Drosophila melanogaster: one gene and its partner. The protein of the gene in region 1 purifies or fractionates together with the protein of each later gene. This does not show direct contact. Each region holds a gene or a part of one and is shown on either strand. Other genes may lie near its edges.

What was found. Proteins that work in one complex are often made in the same cells at the same time.
Region 2: the proteins of Nost (region 1) and Ect3 purify together in Drosophila melanogaster (affinity purification with mass spectrometry, with the first as the bait; one large-scale study listed by BioGRID). This does not show direct contact.

Annotation. Positions count from the first base shown.
Region 1 is NC_004354.4:9,027,538-9,034,330, reverse strand, and holds the start of Nost (nostrin), read right to left. Parts: upstream 4,127-6,793; 5' UTR 3,462-4,126; coding exon 3,435-3,461; intron 1-3,434.
Region 2 is NT_033777.3:11,996,435-12,004,601, reverse strand, and holds Ect3 (Ectoderm-expressed 3), read right to left. Parts: upstream 5,325-8,167; 5' UTR 5,163-5,324; intron 3,394-5,162; 5' UTR 3,393-3,393; coding exon 3,172-3,392; intron 3,116-3,171; coding exon 2,901-3,115; intron 2,827-2,900; coding exon 2,409-2,826; intron 2,305-2,408; coding exon 1,245-2,304; 3' UTR 1,086-1,244; downstream 1-1,085.

The DNA.
Region 1 (6,793 bases):
AATATTTTCGTGTGATTGAATAATCATTCAAGCGATAATTTAAGGGAGTTTTCCTGGTTTTCGGTTACAATATATCTTCAGTATTTTGGCATTAGGCGAAATGTACATTTTTTGCCATAAAATTATTCGTTTTTTGGCCACAACTTTAAAAACAATTGTCTGAATATGGAATGTCATACCTCGTTGAGCTCGTAATTAAATTTCCAATCAAACTGTGTTCAAAAATGGAAATTACATTTTTGTGTCATTTTTTGCAAATTTTGATGATGTTACCCCTTACAAAAAAAGGCAAAAATTGATTCAAAAATTATTTTACCGAAATCAGTCAAAAAGTGATAGGAATCGTTGGCGGTGGTAAAAAGCTAATTAAAAAACTTATTCTTTTATCTATATGAGCATTTTTAGTCAAGTTGTGATAAAACTTCCTTTAGTAAATAGCGAAATTTTGGAAAAAGTAGTTTTGATGATTTTTCGATTTCGATTTAATTTCCAATTGATTGCCATTCAAAATTGTCAAATTTTTTTGACCACTTTTTCCAACATTTTATATTAAATGCGTTTTTTTTTGTGGTTTTACTATTTACCGGCCTATGCATATGTAAAATGTTGGTTGGAAAAATTGGCCCGAAGGCATAAAAGGCACAGAAAGTACAACAAAAATTTGCAATTGCCGGCAAAAATCGAATCATTGCACTGTAATCCGCTTTGGTATTAGCCAGAAATCGTATTTACAGCACACTTATTCATAATTTGGCTAGCCAGTTTTCGGCTGGCAATCCCACGAAAATCAACGAGGGAAGCCAATCTGCAAATCTTCAATTGAAATCTAATCTGCTGCTGGGGAAATGGAGGGTTTTGCTCATAAAAAAACAAAGACCCGATTGTTCCGCAGCAAATTGGGCAGGCATTAAATTGCATATGATCACGGAGAGCTAAGTAACTTTTCCTCCTTTGAAAATTTCTTTTCTTTTTCTTCCGCAAACCTCATTTGAATGAGGTTTGTGCTCCCCCTTTACTTTTCTCCATGTGTTTTTATTTTTTTTGCGAAACGAGTCTTTGGGGTAATTAAAAGTTCATTGTCGTCGACGGCCTTCCCAACTTGTTGTGGAAATTATTTTGCAATGTCTGCCCAAAAGCGCAGCTTCCATGAATAAAAAAGAAGGAAAAATAAAAGCGAGCCTCCACACGACTTCCCCATCGTTTAGGTCTTTTTTTCTTTGGATCTTTTGCAGAGGCGAGAGATTTTCCCACATGAAAAACGATGACAAAATGTGCAGGAGGCACACATCGTCATCGTCATTTAGCCGGTGAGTGAAAGTTGCTGATGACCAACATGGACATGTGGATGTGGATGTGGATGTGAATATGGTTGTGGTTGTGTATATCGATATGGTTGTGAATCCATGGCCAATGCCTTCACGACAATCTGCCGTAATTGAACTTGAAGCTGCCACCAGGAAGCAGACTTCAGCCGCCAGACTTTGGATGTGCAGGTGCAGCATCCCAAGTCCCAAATCCCAATCCCAATCCCAGTCCGAATCTCAATCTTAGCCAGAAGAAGATGATAATCGTTGGCGCGACGTCAGTCACGACATTTGCGCAATCGACTTGGGCCAGGCCAACTGGTTTTTCTCTTATTTTACTGGATTTTGATTGGTTTTATGATATTTTTTATTTTCATTTTTTTGCTGCCAGACGAGGGAGCGCCTTAGGTGGTGGGTGTCCGCAGACCTTATCACAAAAAAAAAAACTGCCAAAAAAGCTGGCGCATTTTAATGGATCATAATGCGATTACAGTTACGCAGATACGACGATAACGCATTCACATTCATAAACAACAAAAATACAGCGAAGCGAAACAAAGGCTTCTAAAAAAAAAGAATGCGATTCTACGCGAAATTGCTGTGGTGCAAAAGTTCACCATGCCTAAATGTACCAAGTTTTTATATGATTATTTTTTACTACAATACAACCACTATCTTCTTATCAACAAGTTATGGATTTAGATAACTCTTTTCGCTGAGTGCAATCCTAACTGTTTGTTTCACCGGTTTTTTTTTTTTTTTAACTCCAAAAGAAACAAAAGAAAGCTCCGTCGACCTTCAAATCATGCAATTGCTGTAGAAAAAGGGCGCTCGAGGTGTGGAAATGATGTTTGATCTAGATAGCATGTAGAAATTAAGTTGGGAAATTTCTCGGTAAATGTAGGTGTGTGTGTTTTTCTCTTTGACACAAGTAGAGATAAAAAAAATGCAAAGCAATTGCGGCTTAATTCGAAAGTCAGCAAACATATAGAGAAACTAAATCGAAAAAAAAGTATCTTAAGTAGTGAATTCATATCTCTAAATACAAAGTATTGATAATTTACTACTTTACTTAACCACAATTTTGCATATCTTGCAATACCACTTGCCGCAGTAGTTTTTTTTGTTTTTTTTTTTTACCATCTTGGCCAGATATTTCGCAGATAAATCGTTCGAGATAAACGGGTTGCACAGCACTTCGAATAAGTCGATCTATAAATTTCATCCCATGCCTATCAACATTGCCGTTTGACCCGCTTAACCTGCGTGTTTTGCATCGCACTAATTTATTCAAAAACTGTTCGACTTTCGTTCGCCAAAGCGAACGACGCACTCCTATTAAAAAAAAATAAAAAATTAAAATTTAAAAAAACCAACCAATTTGATTAGGTTATTTCGAGTGACCTCGACACCGTTATTCCGCTGATAAAGCCAAGGTAATTCGCTGCATGCGAAGCTTCGGAAGCTGTCAAAATTCTCAGTTCCAAGTCAATTGCCAGTCGGCACAAATGCAAATGCACTCGAAAAAAAACACCCCTAATAATAATGTTTTTTATATCGAAAATGATATTATAATTGCTTGTCTATAAATGTGGAAAGTTCTATATTTTCTGTTCATTAAACTTATAAAGTTATAGTAAGTTAAAACGAATATTTGTAACTTTCTTAAAGTTCAAAAGCAGTTTAAGGTAATAAGCCATCAAAGAACTAGTGAATGTATCTCAAATACTAAACATCAAAATGATTGAAGAAATCGTCAAAATTCCCCTAATTATCAACTTTGATTGCCAGTGCAATTCCACCAATCGATGGATCGGCACTTGGCGAGCTGCGAAATTTAAAAAAATCGGGTCAGGCCGAGAGATGCATGGTGCCAATTGGCCAATCGGTTTACAGATGGCCACACAGGTTAATTAACGATTTGGACCAATTAAGAAGATGTCGAGAGGGGGCGTTGGGCAATGGACAAATGAGGATAGGGAGAGAAATTGTGTTGGATAATTGTGCAATTTGGATTAGTTTTGAGTGCAGGATAGAGTGCGAGTATCACTGTGGATACGTGTGCAGTAGTTAGTCGGTAATTAGTGCCAAATCTCAAGCCAAACCGAACTGAACTCGATCGCAACTCACCCATGAATTATCGCGGAATTGTGACATATTTTGGCCAGCGGCGGGGGTTAGGATGCGGGTAGGATATTATGATGCGGTATTGTGAACTATATGTGTTTTTTTTATTTTTTTCAATTTAAATTTTATAATTGAAGTTTAAAGCATTTACTACTGGTCAGCCCGGCTGATTGTTTGCTTTCAGTTTCAGCTCGTCGCTTTTCCTTCGCGTATTTCGTTTGTGTAACTTTTATTTTACTTTTGTTTTTTTTTTTTTTTTGATTCGCGAATTTCACAGTTTTTGTTTAATTTATCTAACCAATTTGTTAGCACACACACACAACGACACTACGATACACTCACACACACGACGAGTCAGCTGAGCGTAACGCATGTGTTCGAGATACTTTTGTATCTTGTATCTGCGTTTTTTTTTCTTTTTTTTTTGGCTGCTTTCTGAGGCGTAACTGCCAGCACGATTACGTGCGACAATTGTAGCACTCGCCAGCAAAAGGCAGAGATGCACTACTCAAAAACGAAGCACTCCAGTTCAAGGCGAGCAAAGCGTTCGCAGGTAGAAAGAAAAAACAATAAAAAAAAATGTAATAAAAATATAAATAATAGTACACAGGTCGCCGAAGTTTTGGTGGAAAAACCGCGCTGGAAAAGCCGCATGCGCTCTCGTCGCTCTTCTACGAAACGGCGAACTAAACGAGTCGAGTCTGCGCCGCCAACTGAATCTGGCTTTTAGCTTTTGACTCCGACTCCGCGATCCACGCTACAACAAATCCCAATCCCAATGGCAATCGCAATCGCAAACGCCGCTCGCCGCTCTCCGTGAGCGGTGGCAATTGCAATCGCCGGTCGCTGGCGCTTTCTAAACGCTCTCCGCTCAACGCTGAACGCTCTTTGTGGAGCGGCACAGTGGGTACAGTGGGCTGATTTACTGACTTATGTGGCTAAAAAAAAAAACAACAAACCTGCAGGGAAATCTTCCACTCGGTGAATAGAATATGATAAAGAAAAATATGAAATGAAAATGCATAAAGAACATATATTCAACTGATTGAAGTCAGCTGACATTCAGACAATTTTAGATAAAAAGATTTAATTTTTAAAAATTTATTTATTGTTAAAAAAAAGTTGCAGCCAATTGGACAAGCTTTGTGTACGTTTTAAAGCTCGTTTAAGCTTGGCTTACGATGACTTCAAAGTTATGGAATGCAGATGCATAAATTTGCATCTTTCGAACTTACCCTTATGACTTATTTCGATTTCCGTCTAAATGCTGTGATTACAATATTCTAATAACTTATTTAGTTACCTTACAAGCCGTGACTCATCTGAATTTGACTTTACTTGTAGGTGAGAAAGCCCAAAACTATGCCATAAAAGAAAAACGCAATGTTGTTGAGTTTGAAATACCAAAAAAAATTTTTATTTTCCCTTAGGAGAGAGTCAGAAAATTCATATTATAAGCAATTTTGTGGATGATTTCGATCGTTTGTCCAAATATTGTTGGGATTCGCTAGCGTAAAGTGTTATTGATATTTTTTTTTTTTTTACAATTCTTTGAAAGTTGCACTTGGATTTTAAACAGAAACTCGTAGCTGAGCGTTTGGGGTTCGTTTTTTGCGGTTCCGAAAATTACAATTTTGTTTGAGAGCTTAACAGGATAGACTATGGCTTAAAGGATCGATGCGAATGAGTCTATATAACTATTGTACATCTATTTAATATTCGTGGGTGTGTGTGTGTATCTGTGGTTTTCGGGTTTCTAAGTATATAACATACGAATGCTGCATAGCCAATCCAGATGCTAAACGTTCTCGACTTTCCCACACAATTGCCACAAGCGAATACAGTTTTTTTTTTTCGTCGGTATTTCTCATCCGATGTAGCTCGAAAAATTAATATTAAATTTGTAATTATTATCCCAGAAATTGGAGATTCTCTTATTTAATTCTGTTTTTTTTTTTTTGATTTTCCGTTAGGTTTGCTAAATGCTATTTCAATTTCTCTTTTCGTTTGTCTTAAGTAAAATTGAATCAAATTCCTCAGTGCTTGCAGTGCATATCGTACTTAGTAATTCATGTTGTCTATGCTTAGTGACTAATTCAAAAAAAGTAGATATATATATATATATATATATATATATTAAATAGGCATATACATACAGTGATGGGGATGGTTATCAATAGTGTGCTTTTTCTTACATCTATAAATATAGTTTATAGGATCTGTGAGTGTTTGTAATTCGGTATATGTATGTACACTTTACAGTTAAGCAGTTTAGAACTCTTCGATAGAAATACTTTCAGACTTGCGTAAGTTAATAATTAAATGTATGTATGTATATATATATGTATGTATATATAGTGTATATCCAGGTGGAAGGGAGAATCCAAAGTCGTTGTCTGTTCAAAGTTTCGATTTGGGCGAGGATTGAATTAAAACGCGGGGTTTTGCGGGAGTCGATAGAAAATTGCACAGAATTTGTGTATTTACAGGGTTGTCGGTGTAAATAAATAGATTACTTTTACACATTTATGCCGCTTTATTACTTTATCAATATATGTATATATATATGTGTATATAGTATGCTTACTATCGTACAGTTAGGCATTGTTTTTAGGTATATCGTTCCTCCATCCATTTCTGTATCTTGACCTTTACAATTTTGGTTTGCCTTACTTGCTAGGATTTCATAAGACTTGCGTTTCATTTTTCCATATTTTGTTCAAAAGTTGCACTTAAACAATTCGAAAAAAATATATACTATATATGTATGTCTATATATATATATATGTTTTTATATATACTCGCATATATATATAGCATCTATGTTGTTCCTATGTACACATCATGCAGTAAGTGTTTCCATTTAGTGTTATCCTGTTTCTCTGTGTCTATGTGTGTGTGTGGTGTATCCTTGTGTTTTTTAGTGGATATTCTGGATATCCATAGTTTTGGCTTGGACCCGGTTGTTCTCCGAACAGCTGTGACACTTGGCTAGCCATTTTCTGCATTTTAGCCCTCGTCAGTATTAACTTTCTACTAATTCATCATCATCAATTTCTTTCACCATTTAGCATTTAGTCCGTCTAGATCGATAGATAGCACTCTCCTCGGTGACACTTAACTTATTCCGCCTTCCCGCTTAAATCCTTCAACTACAATTTCACTTTGAAGCTTTTTTTTTGTTTCTATATAGCAAATTGCGAAAATTAACCAAATCGTTTTGGTTTTACTTTGAATTTCTTATTGATTATCGGGTTTTCAGAGTTTTGTTTTTTTTTTTATTTCTTTAAGTTTCGGTTCATAGTGAATGGTTTAGGGGGGATAGCAAACGCTTCATCGGCCTTCATGCTCGGCTCATTTGC
Region 2 (8,167 bases), on another chromosome or scaffold:
GCTGAAACATTGTTTATGGAGGATGGCCATCATCAATTGACAGCCAGCGGGCAGAGCTAATAAAAAGCAACATCAATGCAGGGCATCAGATTCCGGGATTGGGATGGCGATGGCACACATCCGGTGGCAGCACGCAACGCCATCCCATTAGGGAAGCACTCTCCCAAAAAGCCACTGGACTGGCTGGGTGGCCACGGGTGACATGAGGCGGCGCTTTAAAACTGCCCCTGGGTCTTAACTTGTTTTATGTCAACTTGGACAACGAGAACAGAGCAATTACAGCATGTGTAGCCAGCAAAAAAAAACACAAATACTTGAGCTGCAGCTGCGCCTAAAAGAAAGATCCTTTAAAACGTAAGCCACTGCATGTGAATGTGTATGTGTGCGAGTCAGGACTAATTAACTGTAGCTGCCTCACTCATTACGGCAACAAGAGATGGTCAAGTAGGGAGTGATTCTCCGGCCCGGGAGCACTCCGTGAAATGTCAACGTAGAGGTACACAGGTACACAATTTGGGTAAATATTTTATTACAGTTCGAGGACAGTTTGGGAGACCTGAAGGGCAATGAAACTATTAGTTCGTTAATTTAGCATAAATATTAATAGGGAAAATAATACAGAATGCGAAAAAATAACCAGCACTATTTAGAACATCTGTGCATAAGAAAGTTTAAAAATCCTAACAACTTGACACGCCTAAGTTTCTATGAACAAAATATATTTTGGGTCAGTTCATTGGAAAACTTCATCCAAAAATATCGCAAAATTCCACGACATGTACACATTTCAAAAACAACAGCGGTAATCTAACATGTTCTTAAAAAACACCGAATGCCAGCGGAAAAGAATGGAGTGGGATTGTCATAGAAAACTTTTGGGAACCTAAAAAATCAACGAACCAAGACGCGACTCATTTTCCGACTCGCCTTTGACTTACTTTGACTCATCATCAGAGCGTTTCTGTGGATTTCAATTTCAATCATTAGGGATTAATTTGGCCCAGGCACAAAGGTCACACATGGCAGGCCTGTAAATCCATCCCCGCATGCCACAACAGCTTTAATGAGTCTTTTACAAAAGGGATAACGAGGCAGACAGGACGCGTCCGTCTCGGAGTTGCTTTAATGTCTTGCAAAGAACTTAAACCGCATAAATTTACATTTAGATCTACATATACGGATGATGATGCATGATTTATGGCTACAGCGATGGATGCAAGTCGCAATGGTCCTTAGGCCGACGACTAAACGGTCCTCGCGTTCAGAATGGGGGTATCTCGGAAGTGCAGCTCCTGTGAGGCGGGTGTCTGCTGATACTCCACCACCACCAGTCGATTTGAGCCCGCCTTGAGCACGGCGGCCGGAACATACAGGGTGACTTGAGGTCCCACCAGGGGCCAATACCTGCCGAGATTTTCGCCATTCACAAAGACAATGCCCTTGCCCCAGCCGGACATGTCCAGATAGGTGTCCGCCAGATCAGATTCCTTTTGGATGTCCAGTTGACCGTGGTAAATGGCGGGACCAGTGCGCAGCATTGTGCGCAACTTCTTTAGCTCCTGGAAGCCCTGACGAACTGCCTCATCCGACTGGGTAATCAGCTGCTCCAGGTTGTCGTACGATTCGAGTGGGAATTGGGTCATGTTCCAGTTGCTCAGCACCTGCTTGTCCAGTCGAACATCCCGCAGGATGCCCTTAAAATCGTTCAACTGTCGACCGTAGTTGATGCGACCCTGGTTCTCTACGATAATCTGGAACCTCCGCCCGGCACTTGCACTGAGTGGCAATTCGAACACGGGGGTTTCCCTGGCCAGAATACCCACGAACTCACCATCCACATAAACGTAACCTCGATCCGCCAGTCCGGGAACGCTAAGGATGCTCGGATCCCGCTGGAAGCTGGGCAACCAGGTCTCGTAGAGCACCAAACCAGAGTACTGTCCCAAAGCCTCGAAGCTCTTCGGCTTGGCGGACTGCACAAATCCAGTGGAGAGACGAGATCGAGCCTCCGACGAAAGCAGACTACAGCAGGTGGTCAGACGCACAGTTCCGTAGGATCGCTTGGGTACGGGTCCGGGCACGGGTTGATTTGGCAGCGGGAGATAGCGGCCAATGATGCGTCGCAGGGCCTGGTATTTGGGAGTGGGATCCCCCGCCTCCGTCATGGGTGCATCGTAGTCGTAGCTGGTAATGTCAGCCATGTAGTTTCCGGGTCCAATGTCATTGGCACCAGCTGTGAATCCGAAGTTGGTGCCGCCGTAGAACATGTAGAAGTTCACACTGGCACCATGATCCAGCATGTTTCTGGAAGCCAAGGCAAGGTTATATATACGATATTATATATAAATATATATTAATTCTTTAAATAACACATAATAATCAATGCCCAAACCAAATTGGAAACTTACATAAAAGTGGAAGTAATCGATTGGGTGCTAACATTGGCCATCGGCTCCGTCCAGTGAGTTAGCCAACCGGGATAGTATTCCGCATTGACCAGCGGACCCTTTGGCTGGTACCTTCTAAACTTGGCCCAAATGGGCTTGAGATCGTTCGTTGCTCCAAAGTCCATGGTCGCTAGGACGCCCTGGATTTTTCCACAGCGCAGCACACTGGGTCCATCGTTGGTGAAGAGCACCGCCTGACCTTTGACATGACTCTCGGTCTCATCGCGTAGCCAATTCCGATAGTTGAGATCGCAGGCATAGAAGGAGCCATATTCGTTCTCCACCTGAACCATTATAATTGGCCCACCATTGCCATACAGATATTTATTCATTTTGGCAAACAGTTGGGTATACCAAATGCGAATTTCGCTAAGATAATCTGCCACATTTTTGGAATTAAGCAGTAAAACATAAGTAATCTTAAAAGTTAACAAAAGGAGTATCAATACTTACTGACATCTGCTGTCCGGAGCTGAATGCCCGGATACTTATTCAGCAGCCAGTAGGGAAAGCCGCCCATGTCACGCTCCGCACAAATATACGGACCCGGACGGAGGATGACCAGCAGATCCTCGCCCACGGCCAGGCGTATAAAGTGTTCCAGATCGGCAATGCCGCTCCACACATAAACGCCATCCCGCGGATTGTGCAATGACCACTCCACATAGCTTGTAGTTAATGGAAACATGACAATCGAACCATTAAAATCATAGTAGTGACTCACGTTGTCACCGCATTCAGACCCGCAGCTCTCATGGTCCTAAGATGCCTTTGCCAGGTGGCTGGATGAGCACGGAAGTAGTGGAAGGAGCCGGCAATGAATCGGAATGGTTCTCCATCCTTTAGGAACTGATCCTTTTCGTAGTCCACCACAAAAGTGCGATTCGCTGAAACAGCTCCTAGCAGCGGTAGTAGGGCCACCAGGACCACCACACTGAACTTCATTCTAAAGGATTGCAGTAGGAAAGATAATATATCAATTAAGATACTGGGAAAAAAATTTCATTATATTTATCATTAAAGCGATATAGATAATAATTCACATCTATTTACTTTGATTACTCTTACACACTAGCTTCGTTAGTACAAAAAAGTAATCATTTTATTCCTGATAAAAAGCGCTGCCAAAGCTATACAGTAATTGTAACTGTAAAAGTAATTGAAAGTAACAAAAAGATACGCAGCAAAATGATTAAATATGATTTATGTACGCCACCATACATAAATGTTTTATGCCATTTAAAGAAAGCGTATTGTGTGCATTCTTTAATAGATTCTCGAATAACTCAACAAATTCCTTTAAGTATTCTGTTTTCTCTGGCCAACGTTTATCTTCCGGATAGTCTGAAGACCCAGTCCGTTCCGCTTCCTAGTGAATCAATCTAAATCAGCCCAGTTGAGTTCATCGCAGTGCAAAGCGTGTCTCGTTTCAGTTGAAATGTTTCAATTGAAGTTCACGGCTCAATTGCTTAGTGACAACAAAACGATAAAATCTTTTGTTTGTTTTGCTTATGAATTGTTTGAAATTAATTCCATTTACTCAAACCGCCCCTGAACTTCTTGGCTGGAGCTCTGTTTGGTCTGCTGTTGCATTCCCTTCGGGTCTCATTAATTAATGCAAGCTCAGCCTAAGTCAATTATTTAATCTGGCTTCTTCGCGCAGAGTAGTGTTTCATATACAATTTGTTTTTTTTTTTTTTTCATTTCCACAGCAGCTGTTCCACAATAATAATGAATTGTTATTTCTGTATTCGGACACTCTGTTATGAATTCATTCTTATCGGCACCATTTGTTTGCTCTTCACTTTCTTCATTTTATGCGATTTGACAAACGAATGCTACGTGTGTTTGTGTTCTATTTTAATTTTTTATTCCCGATGTGGATTATTTTGATTACGCTAAACTATGAAATGTTGTTTCAGCATCATTATGCTTATTAAAAATCATTTTTGTGATTCATTATCCTCTGATGCTTGTCCGTCAACAGTTTATAAATGTTTGCTGCTTGGAAAGTTTTTTATAAATTCATATTACGATTCATTTAGGCATTTTAAAGTGCTATAATTGACTAATTTCGTCAGGAGGTTATTTTATTTAATGTTTGCCCCAATGAACTCAAAATTGCTCTACATCTAATGGATATAACATTTCCATTACTTTAGGAAATCTTCATTGCTTGGCTAAGACAAATACTCAATGTAATTAAGTCATGCCTTATTGACATGAAATAAACATTTTAATTGAATTAAGTTGAATATTAAATATACACAAATGCTTACATCCGACGGTGATTTACACGCTGTGATTCCGTATCTCTTATCACTGAATGGAATGACTCTTAAACCGATAAGGCAAGTGCTCCCCGCTAACCAAATGATCTCTAAATTAACCTGTAATAAATACACCTCCATCAAAAAACTTCCCGTATATGGGTGCCTAAGCTACGAAATTCGAATATATACAGTAGGTACCCAAGGGAAAATCGGAACGAGAACGCAACGTAAATTTTAGGCATCTGACCTAAATAGATTATTTTGCATGCCAGTTACCACCGACTTTACAAAGCTGGATTCCCACTGCGTGTTCCGCTTAACTTTACTGGCAATTAGACGAGAAAGTTGGCGATCGTCGCTTTTTTCTTTCGAAATAAGTCCAGCTTTTGTTTCGAAAAAAAAAGCCATCCAAACGATCTCCAATTATTCATATGACACTTACCTCGCCGATTGCAGCTACACGCAGTGAAAGAAGTGTTTGACTTTTTAGTGTTGATTTAGAGCACAGACGATATAAAAACACAGAATACGATCGCGATGGTTGCAATTACTAGGTGGAAAGTGCGCCAACTGTTCCGCTTGAAATCCAAATTCAAACTGATCGTGCGGTGACCAGAAACCGCGATTAAGTGCAGAACAGAACGAAGACGCGGCTGGCAACATGAGGCCAGCGCAATTGCAGCGCAGCGGCAACATTGTTGAGCAACATTTGTGCTAAACTATGGAACAAAGAAATAACTAAAGAAGTAGAAGCTTATGTATACAATATTTTAATGAATTCATAATGAATCAGAAACAACACAATTAGAGGTGCATTATTGGTCAAAACTGAAGCGTTAGTTTTCTTATTAACCACCACATTATTATTTCTATAGATTTAACCGACTTATAGCCAAAAAATAAGTGTTCTTATGAAACAAACCATTTGTTTAAGCCCTTTTAGACGGGCGTTACATCAAATAATCCTTGACTTTTAACCTACTACTATTGATGCTATCCCTTTTTGCATCCATTGTTTGCTGTTCAATATTCCGTGCCTCTAGAGCATGTCGAAGTCGTTTTCCTAAAAAATTAATGTAAATTTATTTAAAATCCACACGCATGCCGGTGGAAATTCGAAATTGGGCTGCAGCTGCTGGTAGAAAAGAAAAGGAGTCGATTTCAAATTATGGTCACGCCTCATTTTTTATGCATTAAGTGTGTGTATTTGCTTTGGCCTGAACTCTGGCCTCCTTTTCGCATGCAAAATAGGGTGACATGGAAATGCAGCCGCGGGCAATTGGCCGAAAAGTGAGTTTTTCATGTTGTTTTATTATTAATTTCATACATTTCGGCTGGGCCTCTCTGATTCCGTCCGCCTGTTGTTGGTTCACATTGCGTAGTCCTTGCTTACAACTGGGCTAATGGGCCCATATTACCCAACCACGAAAAAAGGCTCACACCCACACACACACACACGCAAACCAAAGGCCGAGCAAACAATGTGTTGGCCAAAATGTAAATCTAGACGTAGGACGACTTGGCACGTCTTTAATCTCGCACGCCTGTCGGCAGTTTAAAGTGTCCTTTGGGATGCACACACACCCCGAGGCACACACACACACACACGCACGTTCTGGGACAGAGAGTGTCCTACATAGACAATTAGACAACAGACACGGCCAAGTTAACAGCTTATCCGCATTAAGGCAGCGGTGGGAGTTGAGTTTTCCTAGTGCTATTCCATTGTCCAACTGCCGCCTGTCAGCCCAATGTCCTGGCTTCCTCATGTCCTGCCAGGACGTGGCTTGACGAGCCGTTACCAGGTAGCTCGAGAACCGGAAGTTCGCCACATTTGCACACTGTTAATTTTGCAGCAGCAAACTTTGCTGGAATTAGTTGGCCGCAGTGCGCACGGTGGGATAAAATGGCAAATTTCGAGGTAAAAGAAAATTCTTGTCAAAAATAATTGTAGTTTAAAAGCGCTTTAATTAAAATGGGAGAATAATACAAACAATAAAATTTAAAAGTAGCAAGTAGTAATGACTTTCACTTTAATAATATCCTGGTTTTTTAAGCAAACTGCTCATGCCCACTGTTCGTTTAAAGTTCAGCCGACATGTTCTGATGCTTTGACATTTGAGAGCCTCTCCTCTAATCCCTAAAACTATATTTTTTATCCTTAAAAAAAAACATCAAACTTTGGGGCCTTTCAGCACTTTGGCTCCATTCCAACTCCAAGCAAACAGAGCCGTCGTAATCATAACAACGATGAGCCCTAAGTGCCTAACCCACCTGTTGATTGTGGCAAACTCGACATCAATTGAATTCAAATGCATTTCGCTAAGTTCAATTGAATTGCCTCTGCACTTTTCTGCTCGATGCTGCAATGTTTGCTTGTTTGCGGTTGTCGCCGCCGGTGGCAATCAATTGAATTACATGTTTGTTGTTTCCTGTGCGCATCGCATCGTTAGAGGTCGCCACAGTTTTTACCATCTATTGCTCCTGTTGCAGCTGCCACTTCGACACCATCCGCCCCCCCCCCCCCAACCTTCTTTCCCCGACGGGCTTAAGCCACCAGGCCAGGGGTTTATTTGCATGGCAATTTCACTTTACAAGGCGTGGCATAATCATGCGTGGCGTCAACTCGTTAGAGATATTCGCGGCATGGGATGTTGCACTTAAAAGTATAGGAATAAAATCTAGTTGTAAGAATGACACGATAAATTTATATTACAATTAAATTAAAATTAACTTAACCAATGGTTTTAATATTAAATATCTCAAAATTCATTGATTTATAAAATAACTGACTGCATCTAATATGTAAAATAAATACATGCATATACATATATCAATAAAAATCCTATAATCATATATCTACACAGCTGTAACCTTAAATCAAATTCATGGGATTTCAATTCCTCAGTGTACTTTGCCCCACTTCGTCCTTTGTGTTTGCATTTTGCATCATGAGTTGCAGCATCAGCCGACGTTGCACTTGCACTCGATTGCATCTCGACTAAAGGCCAGTACTCATGAGCATCCAAATGTATATGGATACTTCCGCAGATATTGGTGCCACTAAAAATAGGGAATTTCATTGGTTATGATCTTACATTTGCATAGAATTTAAGTATTATTTTTGTGTTTTTTAAGCCCGATACTAATTTAATATTTAGTATTATACATAGTTTGTATTATTATTTTCTCAAATACAATGTTGCATAAGTGTGTATGTTGGAAACCATTCTGTTTCCCACCAAGCTCCTTAACCTATTCACACCACTCCGCGAACCGTAGAACACGAGTACAAAAAGGTCAAGTAGACGCCGCCGCGGGGAATTTGCGAGTCTAAGTGCACTAAAGCAAGTATATGCGAATAGCAAAAAAAAATAAAAAAGGAAAATCAAAACAAACAAAGCAGGAAATGAAATGGAAAACATTTTTAAAGGGTTACACACTTCA